Schizosaccharomyces pombe: one gene and its partner. The protein of the gene in region 1 interacts with the protein of each later gene in a biochemical or structural test. Each region holds a gene or a part of one and is shown on either strand. Other genes may lie near its edges. The genes, in order: mug105 and ubi4.

Region 1 (3,199 bases):
TTCTGTTCATTCCATCTTCTGTTATCATGGAAACGAGATCTAGGTGTTCCCAAATAACCAAGCATACGGAAACAGGCAGTTGCCAGATATGAAGCCGCAAGGAGGAGCACAAACGCAGCAGTGAATGGCTTTAATGAAAACAATTTCCAAGGCCTATGTAGTAATACTCCAGAGTAGGTCCATTCCAACTTATAGTTTAAAATGCATGTCTTAGTAATGCTGTCCATGGACAAGGCGACGGTTTTTTTGCACTCAATATTATAATCTATTACTTCTACATGAGAAGACTGATTAGGCCATACACAAGTCCATTTTAATAAATGAGGAGCAACGTTAAGTTGGTTATGCTGACAAATAGCCAAATCATTGCTGTGCGAGCTACACGCTGGTCCTTTGCAATGAAGCCGTGGTCCATCATCAACGTTGGAGGATTCAGAACTAAATTTTAATGCTTGAATTCTGTCCAGAGAATAAGTATATGCATAAGTATTTCCAATAAATAATGCAAAGAATAATAATACAGCAGTCTTGACAACAAACATTGTGCAAGGCTGGTAGTTGTTTACTTTTGGTAACAACTTTAGCCTTTATCCACATTCGGAAGCCAAAGTCGGATATACCGATGTAAACACCGAATTCACCGCAAAACAACAAATTTTAAATTCAATAACAATGTCGCTATATGAAAATATGAGAAACTATCAACAATTTTAAATATACGTATACTACATAGTAGTAAGTCAAAAGAGAATAATCAGATATATTATTATTTTTCAACAGTTTTTCCTTTTTCTATAAATTAATATATGGGGAAACGGCCTTCATAAATATTATGAAAAACATCACCAGCGCTTGGACAGCTAAAAGTCCGAAATTCTGGTAGAACGAACTTCCAGTTTTGAACTGAAATCATTTAAAAAAATGTTTTGCTTAAAATGTACCAATTGAAATTGTGAGAATTTCAAAGATCGCTTTTTTCGCATATAACAGTGATTAAAGTCCGCAATATTCACAAACTTTTTTTGAACACTCTGATAACGATCTGGATCAAGCACAACAAGAGTTTCTAAAGAAGAACAGAACCCAATGATAATGATAGAATGCCCTTGAAATTGTAAATAACATGGAGAAACATTGCTTGTATCATTAGAACTTTCAAAATGTTTTTTAACGTAAAGAAAAAGTGCATTGCTAGCAGAAGCTTCAGATCTGAAATCAAAGTCTACTAAAGCGACGTTGACAAACAACCCGGTAAATAGGCTATAAACCTCAGTAGCACCAATCCATTTACCATGCAAGTTGTCTCCTAATTGAGCATAACCTTCGGCATCTATACCTTTCATCCAAGCGCTGAGCAACAACGATTGCAAAGAATTGATTTCATAATTTCCACTACTAAAATTACGTTTAAACCAATTTGGATTGGTGTATTGAAGCCAGGAAATTAACATCTGTATATTGCGCCAACCACAGCCCCATCCACGATCAATACCGGTAACTGTGAAAAAATAATCGATGTCACCATCTGCTAATGAGCATCCATCTATGCCGAAATGCTGAAGTTGTCGTTTAAGCTGCTGCAAGCATTTTGACATAGTAAATTTCGAAATGTAAAAAGAAATGAGTAAATTTAAAAAATATTCACACGTTAAATCTCGGTAAGCTAAAAGTCGATTAAGAATGCGCCGGTCATTTTGTTAAAACAACTTTGGAAAGTACAAACGCTAATTTCAAAAATTATGGCTGTCAATTAAAGTCATGATATAAATGGCACAGCATCCGTCCTAAATCCAACTTTCTTATAACCCATGCGCGAATGTACTATATTAACGCATGCAAGTTTCATTAGTCCAAAATAATCAATTGCGAAAGGATTACAAGTAGCATGTAAATATACCATCGATACATAATTCTCCAGCAACATGTTAACATATGGAGCTTTGCGTCGCCAAACCGTATAGATGTATGGTGAATGAAGAATTTTAAATGCTGAATGAGAAATCAAGTTTGAAGTACAAACCTGGTGAGATTTGATTTAATCACCTCCACTAACGTTTTCTATAATCATTCGCTTCAGCAGTGAGCCCCAACCTTCTGTTGAAGTAGGAGTTACAATTTCATACGGGTAATTCCCGGAATCCATAGCAACTGGGGGCAGGTATGAAAGGCTTCGAAGGTTAACTGCTTGCACAATTTGCTCAACTGCTGCCTCTAGAGATAAAGAAGATTCTTGATAAGAGTCACCCTCTTCTAAAATGGTAGTGTGCAAGATCCATTGTTCCCAAGGAATTGTATTTCCCTTCCCAAACCAAGACTTTTTAGGCGATCTTTCATACAACAGTAAAATCATCTGACCATTTGCACCAGCCTCATTTCGAATGGTATCAATAAATTCCGCCGCTTTAGTTGCTAGTTGTTCATTTAGTTCTGCACCAACCAGAGTAGGAACCGTAATGTCTAAAACGTCAATTGTCCTAGCAGGAACAGTAGAAAACTGTCTATGAAATAGAATTACACCTAAAACGGCTAAAGGATTAGACTTTGATATGTAATATTTCCAGCAACTAATTTGACTTACCTTTTACAACCTCAGCAGCATACTTATAACCAATTTTCAGTTCAATTGTCACCGTGTTTGTCATTTAATCTCTAAAATTTTGGAAGAGTAAAATTGAGGAATGCAAACTAAGATACTTGCATTGAACTTTGAACTTGGTCAATCAAGTGAAATACATTACGTTCGTGCATATATAGGGTCCTCCAATTTTTTTAGGTAACGTGTTACTCGTTCTGAATCTCAATGTAAATAAACACTTTCTGCATTGTACATTGCAAAGCGTCCACATTTTTTTAAACATCTAATTATCCAATTAGTCTGTGAATTTAAATATTTTTAGTATTTGAAACTAGAAAACGATTAATTGTAAGAATTATATATGACGATAGATAATTGTAAATGTTTATTTTCCTACTAACACATGTGAGTTCAAAATGCAAGAAGGGACTTCCGAAGACCTGGCTCTAAAGAAAATCAACATTTTAACCTGAACTATCAATAGTGATTTTTTTAAATAATTTTTTTTAGTATATTAAAGTAAACACCAGTGTCTTAAGAGTTTTTACAGCATACATCAATTATAAATTTATAACTTAAGCAACATCTCTCGGATATTGTTTACTAAAGTAATTTTTTTAATTT
Region 2 (3,938 bases), on another chromosome or scaffold:
AGACAATATCAGATGATTTTGGAAATTGAATGTTTGATTTGATTCAACATACTCTGGATTTGTTATATGATATGCGCAATAAAAACGCACTATGGCACTTAGTAATGTCCAGATGCCAAAAGTACGACCTTGTAATCCATTGACTACAGATATAAAGTCAGCAAAAAATAATCAGCTAATAAAAAAAAGCATCATTAAAGAGCTTATTATGTGTATTATAAATCAATTAAACTCGTAAAAACCATGATTCTTACCTTCGTTAGTGTTGCTATATACACGCTTAGTCAACTTTGGAGTCAAAAACGATTGAACGGTATTGAAAAGCGCCGCTACACTGACCACAACATTCCATTTGGCAACTAAACTATCTGGGAGCATAGCTAGTATTTGAGACATTGTTATTTCTTAGGATATTAAATTTCTAGTAGTGTGTAGTTGAGGGATTACAGTACTAAATTGGAGAAAAGCGACTGTGAGCAATTTATAACATTGACAGGTTTTGCACTAACTTAATTAGTAAAATCGATGCGAACATTATGTTTTATATCGCTATGCTAAGACAGATTTAGTATAATAAAACAACAAAGTAAGCTTATTTTCAATGTAAAAAGAGATGCTTTTTTACTGAGGTTTCAAAGAGATTTCTTTTTCAGTGCTGATTTCGGGTTGGGATTTACCGGTGAGAATATCCTTACAACTAGGTTATTGCATAAGTAACGTCCCGGTGAATTGTTGACATTGTACGATTGTGATAACTGGGGCTGACTTAGCACATTAGCAATTAGAAAGGTAGTAAGAGATCCTCGTCTACTTATATTTTCGTATATCTTAGTAAAAACACGAAAGGATTCTACCAAGGATCAAATATACATAGCCGAATTGCTGTCCAAAAAATGGCAAGAATGTATACTTTTATTAAGTACCGGCTTTACTATTTTTAATTTACATAACTTGATAGTAGAGTTTTCAAAAATCCAAGTAACCTTAGAACCATAATCAGGAGAATTAATTATTTTAATGATCTTATTGTAAGTAACCCACCGTTTGTACGGAAACACTTATGTAAATACTAGGGATGGGTTGATACTACTTGTACAATTGTAACCTGGAACAGCTCAAAGTAGATGAGTATTCTAATATTTCAGGTTGGCGGTTAACTTATTGATTAGCAAAATATATTATACTCCGTGTGCTACATAAGAAATTAGTAGAATTCCATATGAATAAGAAATCTGCGTTTTAAAACCTAACATCTATATAAATTATTCATTAAAAAAGCATTAAACTATGCTAATTATCGCTAAGAAGCATGAGCGCAGCTTACTCCAAATTCCCAGTCACAAACCTGACCCACATCAAAAAAAAGTATAAACATCAAAATTTACAAAGAGCACATATATCGTAGACCATGGTATCTTTCGGATTATGCTTCTAATGATGATAAACAATACTTTAAGGATGTAAAACGATTTTTAATAATCGTTCGTATTGTCGACTTTTTTTTTATTTTCGTCTTTTAAATCGCACATGATTTTATAGTCTTGTCATTATTTTCTCATTCAACCACAAAGGAAAGCACATTTATGAGCAAATTTCATTCAAATATTGAAATTGGAAAAGATAATGTTGTTTAATTGTTCTTCAAATTGTGGATATCTATTTGAACGGCCTAGGACTAGAAAAATGTTAATTCCTCCTTTGTAGCGACACATCTACACTGAAATGGACAGTAACTCTGCTGATAGAAGTTAGTCGTTATCTTTCCTATTCGTACCAAGCATCTTATCTTTTAAGACATGTTTACTTTTTATTCGTTCGTTTTAAAGTACAACAATATGCTTATTTGACATGGATTTATCAACAGCTACCCAACTACCTATGCACTAGAAATATGTCTCCCAAAGTGTCTGTGCGTAAACAGATATTTATCCTATTTCATTTTGTACTGTTGCATCGTTTCCTCTCGTACTAGTCGTTTTGCAAAGCCACGTTAATGATCGATATGTTTGAATTGCAGACACCATTTCACATTGCGATAAGGGGGATTCCTGTATTTTTTTGGTCACTGACTAATTTTGACACCGAGGTGACATCATATCGTCTAGGAATCTTTGTTGCGTACACAGTAGACAACATGGCATACGAACGAATCGATGCAATGTATATTTATAAACACAACAAAAATTTGAGTGCATATGCTTCAATTTCTATACATAAATGTATTTAGAAAAAACTATCGTATTGGAGATTGTATTTAAATTTTGATTTTATGAATGAGTGAAAAATGAGGAGCAGTGGCGACGTCTATATAAAGGTGGCTTCCCCCCTTCATTACTTTGCATTTGTACACACACAATCTCTACCATGCAGATTTTCGTCAAGACATTAACTGGAAAGACTATTACATTGGAAGTTGAATCTTCCGATACCATTGACAATGTAAAGAGCAAGATTCAGGATAAGGAAGGCATTCCTCCTGATCAACAACGTCTTATTTTTGCTGGTAAGCAACTTGAAGATGGACGTACTCTTTCAGATTACAACATTCAAAAGGAGTCTACTCTTCACCTTGTTCTTCGTCTTCGTGGCGGTATGCAAATTTTTGTCAAAACCTTGACTGGTAAAACCATTACATTGGAAGTTGAGTCTTCTGACACCATTGATAACGTAAAGAGCAAGATTCAGGATAAGGAAGGCATTCCTCCTGATCAACAACGTCTTATTTTTGCTGGTAAGCAACTTGAAGATGGACGTACTCTTTCAGATTACAACATTCAAAAGGAGTCTACTCTACATCTTGTTCTTCGTCTTCGTGGCGGTATGCAAATTTTTGTCAAAACCTTGACTGGTAAAACCATTACATTGGAAGTTGAGTCTTCTGACACCATTGATAACGTAAAGAGCAAGATTCAGGATAAGGAAGGCATTCCTCCTGATCAACAACGTCTTATTTTTGCTGGTAAGCAACTTGAAGACGGACGTACTCTTTCAGATTACAACATTCAAAAGGAGTCTACTCTTCACCTTGTTCTTCGTCTTCGTGGCGGTATGCAAATTTTTGTCAAAACCTTGACTGGTAAAACCATTACATTGGAAGTTGAGTCTTCTGACACCATTGATAACGTAAAGAGCAAGATTCAGGATAAGGAAGGCATTCCTCCTGATCAACAACGTCTTATTTTTGCTGGTAAGCAACTTGAAGACGGACGTACTCTTTCAGATTACAACATTCAAAAGGAGTCTACTCTACATCTTGTTCTTCGTCTTCGTGGCGGTATGCAAATTTTTGTCAAAACCTTGACTGGTAAAACCATTACATTGGAAGTTGAGTCTTCTGACACCATTGATAACGTAAAGAGCAAGATTCAGGATAAGGAAGGCATTCCTCCTGATCAACAACGTCTTATTTTTGCTGGTAAGCAACTTGAAGATGGACGTACTCTTTCAGATTACAACATTCAAAAGGAGTCTACTCTTCACCTTGTTCTTCGTCTTCGTGGCGGTCTTTTTTAATCATCCTTTGTAATTGACTAGTTCAACTTTAACGTTTTTTCAATTGGCTGATTTAGTTATCCATAACTATACAATGCATTATAGCAATATACTATAGCTTTTTGCTTTATTTATGTTGGTATAATATTATTGACTTAATTTAGTATATTCTTAATGTGCGATCCATGTTTGTATTTATAGGCAATAGTGAGACCTGATTTCACCGATGTAAAGTGTTATAGCGTTTGATTAGGGAAGAGGTTAAATTTCGTTGAGTAGTAGCTAATTTCAGCGTTAAACTGTTGTCGTCCCTTACGTAGATAATCAAAGCTGGGCGAAGCGCCAAGCTATATTCTTCTTATTAATTATACCGAACAAGCGTTACTTAATTTATTTATTTCGACGCTTTTCTAAAGGGAATATCTTAATTATTCTATATCTCCTTT

What was found.
Region 2: of the proteins of mug105 (region 1) and ubi4, one has a biochemical effect on the other in vitro, tested with the Schizosaccharomyces pombe proteins (one study listed by BioGRID).

The regions. Positions count from the first base shown.
Region 1 is NC_003424.3:2,527,481-2,530,679, reverse strand, and holds mug105 (ubiquitin-fold modifier-specific protease), read right to left. Parts: upstream 1,606-3,199; 5' UTR 1,596-1,605; coding exon 861-1,595; 3' UTR 779-860; downstream 1-778. Other genes in the region: protein meu29, read right to left, coding at 1-542; protein Atg101, read right to left, coding at 2,036-2,526, 2,579-2,642. UniProt on the Schizosaccharomyces pombe protein: Deubiquitinase with endodeubiquitinase activity that preferentially cleaves 'Lys-48'-linked polyubiquitin chains. Shows only weak activity against 'Lys-63' and 'Lys-11'-linked chains. Has a role in meiosis.
Region 2 is NC_003423.3:1,043,993-1,047,930, reverse strand, and holds ubi4 (protein modifier, ubiquitin), read left to right. Parts: upstream 1-2,338; 5' UTR 2,339-2,364; coding exon 2,365-3,513; 3' UTR 3,514-3,660; downstream 3,661-3,938. Other genes in the region: Erg28 protein, read right to left, coding at 53-143, 255-396.